3 linked regions of the Oryctolagus cuniculus genome follow. The protein of the gene in region 2 purifies or fractionates together with the protein of the main gene of each other region. This does not show direct contact. Links are inferred from orthologs where the notes say so. Each region holds a gene or a part of one and is shown on either strand. Other genes may lie near its edges.

The links.
Region 1: the proteins of ERBB4 (region 2) and signal transducer and activator of transcription 5A purify together in Homo sapiens (affinity purification with western blotting; 3 studies listed by BioGRID, with this or other methods). This does not show direct contact. The link is inferred for Oryctolagus cuniculus from reciprocal best matches to the Homo sapiens genes ERBB4 and STAT5A.
Region 3: the proteins of ERBB4 (region 2) and WWOX purify together in Homo sapiens (affinity purification with western blotting; 4 studies listed by BioGRID). This does not show direct contact. The link is inferred for Oryctolagus cuniculus from reciprocal best matches to the Homo sapiens genes ERBB4 and WWOX.

Annotation. Positions count from the first base shown.
Region 1 is NC_091448.1:20,507,739-20,511,379, reverse strand, and holds part of signal transducer and activator of transcription 5A, read left to right. Parts: intron 1-972; coding exon 973-1,060; intron 1,061-1,155; coding exon 1,156-1,278; intron 1,279-1,562; coding exon 1,563-1,655; intron 1,656-2,120; coding exon 2,121-2,327; intron 2,328-3,321; coding exon 3,322-3,416; intron 3,417-3,641. UniProt on the Homo sapiens protein: Carries out a dual function: signal transduction and activation of transcription. Mediates cellular responses to the cytokine KITLG/SCF and other growth factors. Mediates cellular responses to ERBB4.
Region 2 is NC_091434.1:26,982,573-26,986,888, reverse strand, and holds the start of ERBB4 (receptor tyrosine-protein kinase erbB-4), read right to left. Parts: upstream 2,935-4,316; 5' UTR 2,250-2,934; coding exon 2,168-2,249; intron 2,161-2,167; exon of another isoform or gene 1-2,160. UniProt on the Homo sapiens protein: Tyrosine-protein kinase that plays an essential role as cell surface receptor for neuregulins and EGF family members and regulates development of the heart, the central nervous system and the mammary gland, gene transcription, cell proliferation, differentiation, migration and apoptosis.
Region 3 is NC_091449.1:60,455,412-60,459,052, reverse strand, and holds part of WWOX (WW domain-containing oxidoreductase), read right to left. Parts: intron 3,589-3,641; coding exon 3,524-3,588; intron 2,743-3,523; coding exon 2,685-2,742; intron 1-2,684. UniProt on the Homo sapiens protein: Putative oxidoreductase. Acts as a tumor suppressor and plays a role in apoptosis. Required for normal bone development. May function synergistically with p53/TP53 to control genotoxic stress-induced cell death.

The sequences.
Region 1 (3,641 bases), on a different chromosome or scaffold from region 2:
AGGCCACAGGCCGTCCCGGGTCATCCGGTCCTAATCGGTCAGTGTGTGCCTGCCGTGTGTGATCGGGGGGTAGTGTGACAACAGAGACGCACGAGGCTGTGCTCCTACAACTTGCGGGTTAGCTGGGGAGACAGAATAATGCACCCTTAAAAATGAGGGGGCAGGCAGGCAGCGGGCTCGGTGGTTCTGATGCCATTCTGAATGCCTACGCCGCAGTGCCCGGGTTTACAAATCAGCTTCTCGCCTGGTTCCAGCTTCCTGCTGCTAATGTCACCCTGAGAGGCAGCAGGCGATGGCTCCAGTTCTGGGGCCCTGCCATCCATGTGTGAGACCTGGATTGACTTCCTGGCTGCTGGGTTCAGCCTGGCCCAACCCCAGCTGTTAGAGACATTTCGGGAGTAAACCAGCGGATGAGAGATCTTGTGCTCTTTTTCTCTCTTTCAAATAAGTAAAATAAAAAAAGGTTTGTGCTGAAAAGTGATAGACTGTAGAAAGAGAGCTAAGACAGTGCCATCTTAGTGTGTGGATGTATGGGGGCAGGTGGGGGAGGCGTGAGCCACACTGGGGCGGGGCTGTGGGAAGGGACGGGCAGGGGTGTTTTGGGTGACGGGGGGAGTGAATACCCAAGTCTAAAGTTCCAGGTTAGGTGCTGAGCTTGGCGTGCACAGCAGGTGGCCAAGGCCGCCATGGCCAGTGTTTCCTGAGTGACACGGAGGTGGGCTTGATCCTGGGGCTCCTGTAGGCCACGGTCGGGTCGTGGCTTTTCTTTGAAATGCACCAGAAGCTACAAGCAGTCCTGAACATCCCCACGTCAACCTTGGTGGCCGAGGGATTTCTGCCCACCCCTCTCCCTTGGAGCCTTCGCCTTGGGTGCTGTCGGGGTGATGGGGCCCAGGGAGGGGCCGTGGCAGCACTGCCCAGAGCAGGGATCCCTGCCAGGCCATGCGGACCTGGGGCTCTCTCTGCTCACAGCGAGTGCAGTGGCGAGATCCTGAACAATTGTTGCGTCATGGAATATCACCAAGCCACCGGCACCCTCAGCGCCCACTTCAGGAACATGGTAAGGACTGGGCCTGGCCGTGGAGAGGGGGCTCAGCCCAGCGGGGAACCCTCCTGACCCTGCCCCCCCTCCCCCGACTCCATGGGCCCCTGCAGTCACTGAAGAGGATCAAGCGTGCGGACCGCCGGGGTGCGGAGTCGGTGACGGAGGAGAAGTTCACGGTCCTCTTCGAGTCGCAGTTCAGCGTTGGCAGCAATGAGCTTGTGTTCCAGGTGAAGGTGAGGACCCCCGGCTGCCCCCTGCCCGAGGCTCACCCACAACATGGCCCAGGTTACCTGTGGGAGGCCACCTGGCTGCGCTGAGAGGAGGCGCCCGGGACCCCCTGCGCTCCCTGTGCCGGCCCGCAGCAGAGGCGGTGCACTGAAGAGAGCCACACTCCGCTCTCTGGTTTGCGGGTGCTGCAGCTGGTTCTGTGGGTGACGGCCGGGGCTGGGAGTCCTGCCCGAGCAGAGCGTGGAACGGCGGCCACGCCCCCGCACGCTCATTCCTCACTTTCCCACAGACGCTGTCCCTCCCCGTGGTTGTCATTGTCCACGGCAGCCAGGACCACAACGCCACGGCCACTGTGCTGTGGGACAACGCCTTTGCTGAGCCGGTGAGCCCCTGGGGGACCCTGCCTTGCCCTCCCCACCCCCAACACCATAGAACGCTGCTCAAGGTCAGGGCAGCTCCTTGAGCCCCTGCTGCGAGGTGCTTCTCACCCCGTGCCCCCTCCCCTAGGCCCAGAGCAGGGCTGGGGCAAGGTGAGTGGGGCTGCCCTCGGGCTCCAGCTGCAGGTTCTGCACAGGAGGGCTTGGACCTTGGGCCCTGGCCTGGGATCTTTCTTTGCCTTGGGCTTGGCCCCCTAACTGCAGCCTGGGCCCCTGGCCCTGTGGGCCCACGCGGCATCCTCTCTTTTGCCTTGCCCCCTTTCCCCCATGGGTCTGTGCCTACTTTCTGGAACTTTCTCGGCCCCCTCTTTCTTGTGTATCTGTGTGTCTCAGGCGTGCGTGCACATATGTTCCTGCTCACTCCATGTCCCTAAGTGCCCCATCCACTCTGCTTTCTCCGCTCCTCCCAGGGCAGAGTGCCATTCGCCGTGCCTGACAAAGTGCTGTGGCCGCAGCTGTGCGAGGCGCTCAACATGAAATTCAAGGCCGAGGTGCAGAGCAACCGGGGCCTGACCAAGGAGAACCTGGTGTTCCTGGCACAGAAGCTGTTCAACAGCAGCAGCGGCCACCTGGAGGACTACAGCAGCATGTCCGTGTCCTGGTCCCAGTTCAACAGGGTGAGGGCCTGCCTGGGACCACCCGCCCTGTCCTGCCTCCCCCACCTCGCGGTCAGGCGGCCCCACCCTGTCTCCTACCTGGAGGACGACAGCAGCATGTCCGTGTCCTGGTCCCAGTTCAACAGGGTGAGGGCCTGCCTGGGACCACCCGCCCTGTCCTGCCTCCCCCAGCTCGCAGTCGGGCGTCCCCACCCTGTCTCCTTCCACCTGGAGAAATGGGGGTGTGGACCCCAAGGAACACAGGCAGAGGCTGGAAGGCGATATGGTCAGCTTGAGAACCCAAGCAGGAGGACCTGGGGAACCTCGAGCTGGGTTCTGGACCCTCGGGCTCTAGTCCTAGCTCTGTGCTCTGGGCTTCAGTTTACCCAGCTGCGCCCCTCTATAAAGTGAAGGGATGGAGACCTGTCCAGCCTGGACAATTCCTTTGTTATTATTTTTAAAATGTACTTGAAAGGCAGAGAGACAGAGCTAGAGAGAGATCTTCTATTTGCTGGTCCACTTCCCCAAGGCCTGCAATGCCCAGGACTGGGCCAGTCCAAAGCCAGGAGGCTGGAACTCAGTCTGAGTCTCCCATATGGGGGACAGGGAAGCAAGTACTGGGGCCGTCACCTGCTGCCTCCCGGAACGTGTATTAGCCGGGCAGCTGGAATCAGAGTGGAACTGGGACTTGGACCCTGGCAGCCCAGTATGCTATGCAGGCATCCCAGGTCGCTTCTCATGTGCTGTGCCAGATGTCCACCCCTGGCCTGGAAAATTTTTACACCTCCGACTCCTGCCCAGAGGATTGTCAGGGACCCCCGTCGTCTTAGAAGCGTGGGACGAGTGGCTCTGCTCCCTGGTGATGAGTGGGGCCAGTCAGTGTATGGAGTGCTGGGGTTGGGAGAGGGAGGGGTGAAGAATCGGAAGCAGGCCTGGCTTGGGGCAAGAGGGCAGGGAGACCCCGGGCCGCCCGTGGCCGGGCCCCAGCCCTGACTCGGGGTCTCCCGGCTCGCAGGAGAACCTGCCCGGCTGGAACTACACCTTCTGGCAGTGGTTCGATGGGGTGATGGAGGTGCTGAAGAAGCATCACAAGCCGCACTGGAACGACGGGTGAGGGCCGGGGCACCGCGGTGGGTGAGGGCCGGGGCCGGGGCACCGCGGCGGGTGAGGGCCGGGCCGGGGCACCATGGCGGGTGAGGGCCGGGGCCGGGGACCAGGCCGGGGCACCGCGGTGGGTGAGGGCTGGGGCCGGGGGCCAGGCCGGGGCACCACGGCAGGTGAAGGCCGGGGCTGGGGCCGGGGGCCGGGCCGGGGCAGCCCAGAGCACCGCGGCTG
Region 2 (4,316 bases):
CAGTGGGTCACCTTAGTATGAGTGTTGCAATTATACCAGGGATGCACCCAAGAGCTTTTCTTTGTGCGGCCCTTTCATCTGGATCACTTTGTGTTCTGAACAAGTGAGGCTCTCCTTTGTGCCCCCAGAATTTCAAGTACAGAGTCACACTCGGAACAACAATGGCACGCTAATCCTCGCGCTCTAAATGGGCTCACTTGTGGGTCTGACAATTCGCCCAGGGAAAGGAGAAGAGACGAGCGAGGGCAAGAGCTGGTGTCGCCTGAGACGAGGAAGAGGACAGCTGCAGAACTAATTTGGATTACATTCCTTGCAGAAATTCTGAAAAGGGCTTTTCGGAATAGCTCAGCCCCGCGCCGCACAGTTAATACCAAATTGCTGCGTACCGGGAGCGGGTCCTCCAGCGGCAGAGGCTGAACCAGACAGCCCCCAGTAGGTCGCCTCCTAGAAATTCCTCCCGCCTCAGCCTGCCTGTCGGTCGCAACTGTTTTTGAATGGGTCAATGTGCATAATCAACCCATTGAGGGAAAATATGAAGGGACTGGGAGTGGGGAGGCAGATAAAAAGGGATGTATCTAAGAGGCCGCTTGGAATCTCGAGACGGTGCAATTCCCGAGGTGGCTGGAGCGCGGGACCTGGTATGCATGAAGAATTTCGGAGTAATTGGGAGGGTGCAAACGGCGCACATGTGCCAGGCGAAGGTCATTCTGAAAGGCTCCATGATTGGAACTTGTTATTTACTAGGCAGCGAGGGGGAGGCGGGGGCGGAGCGGGGAAACTACCGCGAGCCGCCGTTCTCTTGGCGAGGTCAGGAGGACACCCTCCGGAGGCCTAAAGCTCGCCCTATCGCCACTCCCAGGGGCTTTATCTCCTCAAGCTGCCTCCCACGCTCTCGCCAGCAACCCCAAACGGCTCCGGAAATCTCCCCCGGGCTCTCCAGAGGCCACCACCACCACCACCCCCCACCTTGGCCGCGTCAGACACCGGTTCTCCTCATTCCTTTCCAGTCCCCAGGTCATCCCCAGGAAACTCCCAGTGTTGGAAACTTAGAGCTCCCCTGTCCCTGCAGGTGCTGCTGTCATTAGCCCTGCCCGCTGCGGCGCGCCAGCCCCCTGCGCGGCCCCTCGGGGTCAATTAGCCCTTTGCCTGTCCAGGTACCTGGGGCTCAAGCTCTCCAGCAAACACTGACCGCGCCCGGGAGCGCAGCCGCCGCGCCCGCCTCGGGTTAAATCAATTCGCGCGACCGGCAGGCTCCGCAGCCCGGCCGGGCAGTAAACAGAGAAGTTGGAGGGAGTCCGGCCAATAGCAAGTTGAACTACAGGAAGAACTCCTCCCGGAGCCAAACACAGCCACCGACGGGAAGGCCGGGCTCCTAGCTCAACGTGCCAAGCCTCTTTTAATTTTTTTTAATAGGACAGGCATGCAAGCAAGCACCCCTCGAGTCAATGGGGCGAGGGACTCCGGGACGCCAGCCGAGGAGGCTGGCAGTTCCAGGCCCGGGCCGAGGCACGCCCGCCCGCCGCGCTCTCCAGGCTGCCCAGGCTGGGCTCCAGTCGTGCCTGACCCCGCAAACCTCGGGCGACTGGGGGCGCAGCGGCCACAGGGAGCACACACAGGTGCACAGCCTGGTTCTCGGAGCTGCACGCTCCACAGCCCGCGGGCTGCGGAGCAGCCCGGCCAGCACCACCCCGGGACCCCAGCCCTGCCCAGGCTCCTGCGGTGCGCCTTCCTTTGCGGCTTGTTGCCTTGAGGGCACAGAGTCCGAGACCGGAGGGCTCCTCTGGCTGAGGGTCTGGGTCTCCCGCGTCCGAACAACAGGCGCGACTAGCAGCGAGCCCGCTTAGGCACAGGGAAAACACGCGAGGGAGAAAGAAGGTGGCTTAAGGAGAGAGGGGGGGAAAGGGTCATGGGGTGCAGAGTAATTTTTCACGATAAATAAAACACTTGCGCGCCCGCGCACATACACACAGGGTAAGTTTAGGATGGAGAAAGAAAGGGGTGACCGGGAGCCGGTGCCAGAGGCCCCAGTCCAGGGGTCCCTCCGCGCCTGGGGGCGAGCCGGGGTCGGGGTGGGCAAAGACGGCAGGGGAGCCACCGAGGCAGCCTAGCCGGCGGCGGCGGCGGCGACAGGTTCAACTGCTGGAGCGCGAGAAGGAGCGCGACCCACCTGACTGAGAAGCGCCGGGCTGGACGGTCCCCGCCGCCACGAGAAGGCTCACCCAGACCCACAGTCCTGTCGCCAGCTTCATTTTTTGGAAGTCTCAGGTCCCGTGCTGACAATTACATGTCCAACTGGCATAGCCCCTTTCGGGCACGCGGAGGAGATTCCCCCAGTCCGACGCGAGTGGGGGCGCGAGGGGGCGGGCGCGGCGCGCGCGGTCCAGCGGCTCCCCAGCGCGGGCGACCGAGTCCGCGCCCGCGGGCCCAGGGCCGGGCCGGCCGTAGAGGAGTGGGCGTCGCGGAGCGCGCCGGGGAGCGCTCCCGGGTGGCGCGGGCTGCTCCGGGCGGACTGTGCAGCTATTTTCCCCGTGGGAGCTTCGCGCTCTCGCTCTCTCTTCACTTTCTCTCTCTCACTGGTTGGTCAACAATAAAAAGGAAGGGGAGAGAAAGGTTTCCAAAAAAAGTTGATTGCAAAGAGGCGGTAGGTTTCCGGCCTCTCCCCCCCCAAGCCGGGCTATGTTCGGCTCCCTTTTCAGTTTCCTTGCACCTCCAGTCCAAATCGGGAGGCGGGGGGAGCTGCTGGCGTCTCCCCCGATCCTGTCCTTGTTCCTGTCAGCTTTCCTCACACTTGTCCAGCGGCTGCGGTAATTAAAGCTCCGAGCGTCATTTCCAACGCTCCGCGGTCTCCAGCTGCAGCCCCACAGAGAAATTAATAAGACTCCGAAATAAATAAAAAAAAGGTGGGGGGCGGTGGGGACGGTGGGGGGGGGGGGATAAAACAACCCTCCACGCAACCAGGCAAGCTCGGCTCAGCGGCACAAACCCCGCCCCTGCTCTGACCCAGCTGGCCACGCCCTTCCCCCCCCCCAAAAAGGGAGATCTTATTGGCTCAGCCACTCCCCAAAATCCTCAGCCTCCAGAGTTGGGAAAACACCTGTCAGAGAGAGGCAACGGGGAGGTGGGGGCGGGGAGGCTGGATTTAAAGGGCTCACCCGAATCCGTGGACCGAAACACTCTCCTTCCCGCCCCGGCGGAGGACGGGACAGCTGGCCCGCGAGGGGACAGACCACCGTTAGGATGCTTAGAGGACAGATTTTTTTTTTTTCTCCATTGCCCCACAGTGCTCATCCACAGACAGAACTTTCTTCAGTAAAAGGATGTGCAAACCCTCCCCCCCCCCCAAAAAAAAAAAAAACAGTCATGCTCCACGCTTAGAAGGTAATTTACAGGAGAGTTCGGTAACTGGTAGCCCCAGCACACCAGGTCGTCCTCCGCGGTAATCATCCCCCTTCCCCAGTTACACCCGGCCAAACGGGAAGACTCTGAACCAAACTAAAAATCTGCATTGGCAGAACCACATCATTGACTTTCAGATTCTCATGGGCCATGCTGCCTTTTCTCTGGACCACTTGTCTGGGGTTCATTCTCTCTAGGCACATTCTAGCCCAACTGCTAATTTGCTTTTAAAGGGCTCAAAAACGTTCCAAGCCTGAACTGTTGGGTCTGAAAGAATTTAAGGCGGCCATGTCAGAATGTAATGGACCTCAAATGATGAGGTTTATTCTAGTAGTAGACGCAGCTGGAGACACTTCCGTGTTCTCTGCCAGTTAGGCTCCCTAATCCCCGGGTCACTGGTAGCTTTGGGATTCTCTGAGAGGTTTCTGAATCTAATTACTATATCCTGGAATTGGAGACTCTCCACGTACATACCCCATACCTCTTACAGCTCTGAAACTACCCAGGACAGGAGCCAAAATCTCCTGGGGTTAGTAGGTTATGGGTTTGCTATTTGCGCAGGCATACTACGTACTAATCATTTTCCTTTTTTGGTTTCTCTACAAATAGGAAATATATAAATAAAAAGTACCTGGGAACTTAAAAATCAAACCACCCTGTATCTTCTGTCATCAACTGGGACCTTCCCTTTTCTCTCCCACATCTTTTATCTCTAGCCCTGTCCCTTAAGAATCTCCCTGGAACAGATAGGAAGAGCAGAAGCCTGGAGTTTCTCTTTCCTACGCACCCCCCCCCCCAAAAAAAAGCTTCTCTCTCTTTCCTAGGCCCAGCAAAGAGACAAAACAAGCTGAGCATGCTTTTTTACCCAAAAGCAGCCTAGGGCAGGGAGAAACCAAGCCTAGAGCAGATGATGGCGACTA
Region 3 (3,641 bases), on a different chromosome or scaffold from region 2:
TAAGAGAAAAATTTGGAAGAAACCATTCATAACATTCACCAAAAGGTCAATATCCTTTATTTCTTAAGCAATCAAACTTGTATACAGCAAGGTACACAAAGAGTTTACAAACTAACAAGCAACAACACACATCCGCTCTATCCAACAAGCCAGACTATCTCTTCTTCCTGGGCTGCCCATGATGGTCGAGAGACTCATCTCAAGATAATGGGTAAAAGTTTTCTCCTGCAGTGCCAGCATCCCATATGGGCACTGGTTCAAGTCCAGGCTGCTATTTTTTTTTTTTTTTTTTGACAGGCAGAGTGGTGGACAGTGAGAGAGAGAGACAGAGAGAAAGGTCTTCTTTTGCCGTTGGTTCACCCTCCAATGGCCGCCGCGGCCGGCGTGCTGCGGCCAGCGCACCGCGCTGACCCGATGGCAGGAGCCAGGTACTTCTCCTGGTCTCCCATGGGGTGCAGGGCCCAAACACTTGGGCCATCCTCCACTGCACTCCCTGGCCACAGCAGAGAGCTGCCAGGCTGCTACTTTTGACCCATATCTCTGCTATGGCCTGGGAAAGCAGTGGAAGATGATCTAAGTCCTTGGGCCCAAGCACCCGCGTAGGAGACCCAAAAGAAGCTCCTGGCTTCGGATCAGTCCAACTCCAGCATAATGGCCATTCAGGGAGTGAACCAGCAGACGGAAGATCTCTCTTTCTCTCTGCCTCTGCCTCTCTGTCTCAAATAAATAAATCTTTTCACAAAATGGAGAAAAAAAAAAAAAAGCCAGGGCCCAGTTGCTCCCAACATTGCAGGCCCATCAAGCATTCAGGTTTATTCAAAAACTACCTGTGCCATTTGAACTTGTTACTGTAACTACACTATTTAATGAACCATTACCATGTGGACTGTTAACATGTGGACTGTAAACAAACTGTCAGTCTATGAAAATACCACTGAATGTTCTGCAGAGCCTCAACCACAACTACCAAAATAAAAAAAAATTGAGGGACCAGCTTTTGGAGCAACAGTTCAATTCCAGGCTGTTCTACTTCCAATCCAGCTCCCTACTAATGCATCTGGGAAGGCAGCCAATGCTTGGGCCCCTGCCTACCATGTAGGAGACCAGGATGGAGTTCCAGGCTCCTAACTTTGGCCTGGCTCAGCTCTGGCTGTTGCAGTCATTAGGAGAGTGAACCAGTGGGTCAAAGATCTCTCTCTCTCTGGCACTGGCACTGGCTCTGGCTCTCTCTCCTGTTGCTCTGCCCTTCAACTATGTATTTTTTAAATAAAGTTTTGGTTCAATTCAGTTCAGTGAAAAAGCTTAAAATTTAAAAACTCTAGAAAGATATAGCATTCAGATTCTTTGAAATGTAAATTTTTCCTCAACTTTAAAGAGGGCAAAAGCAGAAACTGCAGATCATATACTAGGAGAATGCATGGGAAAGGAGGGCCATACTACGACCCAAGGAACAGACTCTCATTCCAAGAGTGGGCCTATCCTGTCACCAAAGGCCTAATAAACTTGAATCAAATATTAAATGTTAATATTATATATACTTTCAAAAAAATCCTGCTTCAATCAACTTCTATTAACCAACGAATCCCAGTCCTACCAAATATGCCAACCTCTGACTGAAATATTGACCACCATGAAACACGCATTCCCTTCTTAACTCATGTGGTCCAGAGAGCAGAACCTCACGCAATTGCTGGGCTCAAACCCTGGTCTGTCATGAGGAGCCGTGGGACCCTGGACACTCATCAGCAAGTAACCAGGGACCATAACGAATACTATCCACAGAGTACTGTGGTGCTCATGAGCTCATACTGCAAAAAAAAAAAAAAAAAAAAGTCATCAGAACCACACCTCCGGCCAACGCCACAGCTCACTAGGCTAATCCTCCGCCTGCAGCGCCAGCACCCCGGGTTCTAGTCCTGGTCGGGGCACTGGATTCTGTCCCGGTTGCTCCTCTTCTAGTCCAGCTCTCTGCTGTGGCCCAGGAGTGCAATGGAGGATGGCCCAAGTGCTTGGGCCCTGAGCCCGCATGAGAGACCAGGAGAAGCATCTGGCTCCTGGCTTCGGATAGGCATGGTGCACCGGCCGCAGGGGCCACTGGGGGGTAAACCAACAGAAAAGGAAGACCTTTCTCTCTGTCTCTCTCTGTGTCCACTCTGCCTGTCAAAAAAAAAAAAAAAAAAAAAAAAAAAAGAACTACACCTCCCTTATGCCGTGTATAGGTGGTTACAATTGCTATTACTGGAATTTATTCTAAGGATGCAATCAGAGATGTGTGAAAAGGTTTTACAGATAAGCATCCTCAAAGCATTACTTACAGCCATAGACTCCTAATAGCAGGACTTTAACCTCCATGCCCAATAGACACTGATCAATTGTATCTATAAAACGTTAAGACTCAAGAGCCACTGAAGTATCATCTTCCTAACAAACCAAGATATGAGAAAATGCTCACACTACAGTATTTGGGAAAGCAGGTTACTAAATAGTTCAGATAGTGTATTTCCCACTTCTTTAAAAAATAAAGCATGTGCACAGAAAATATATTCAAAGAATAAATCCAGAAATCGTTCAAAGCAGTTACTCCCGCTGCTAAGATTACAGGCATGCACTACTTTGTATTTTTCTACAATGTGAGATACATGTAATAAAAAATGGTCAAGAATTCTATCTACATAGGCACTTACTCAACAAAAAACACTTGTCCGTTCTCATCGGTTTCTTGTTCCCATCCATACGGCAAATCTGAAACACAGGGTAGACAGACAGGTCGAAGTGCGGCCAGGTGAATGGAGCCCCAGCCCCCAGGCCAGGACCAGAGGCCCCTCTCCAACCCCTGCTCCCTGGGTCCATCCTTCCCAACCAACGGTCGCCTCAACCCATCTCGGTCACACGTTCCAATGGAGGCAGCTGCTAAGGGTCCATCACCCACAGCCAGGCTCCGCCTCCCCGTCTCTTATTTTAGCCAAAACCCGTTTCTTTCCTGGTTAGTTCTGATTGCTCCCCCCAGCTGCTGCTCTTGCTGTCAATCTTACTTGACGCCAAACCATCATGAATACTCCCTGAACTGAGCCCACAGAATGTGTCTCTTCGTACGGCAGGCAGCCGCCATCTTTCTTAGGCTGACCCGTGACGCCTCACACAATGCAATAGAGCACTTCCTTTGTATTCCTATGTGCAAACTGTCTCCAGCTAGACCCTCGACTTCCTCCACGCCACAAGCCAAGGATAACTTCACCAACAGCACAGCTATGGCAAAACTTAGTAAACTGTGAGTCAAGAGCCCGAATTACTGTAATTCTTTTGTGCTCAGGTAGAAAGTCATCCTCACTCCATGGCACCACCTCAGCACCCCCTTGCCAAACCTCACAAGCTCTCAGAGCAGGAGCCCAGTTCCTGTAGGGTTCTCTACCCGACAGCCTTCCCCGACTGACACAGTGACCCACCACTCCCTGCCTCGTACATCTTCCCTATCTAACTCATGTTTCAAACACAAGACTCTGCTCTATCACAACAACATACAAACCTCCTGCTACGCGTTTTCTTTTTCCAGTTTTCGGATGCTCCCATTGAGTCTTCTCCTCAGTGTGGCTGTCAAAGAAAAAAAAAATCCACCATGCAATCGTAAGTCAAGGTTCACACGT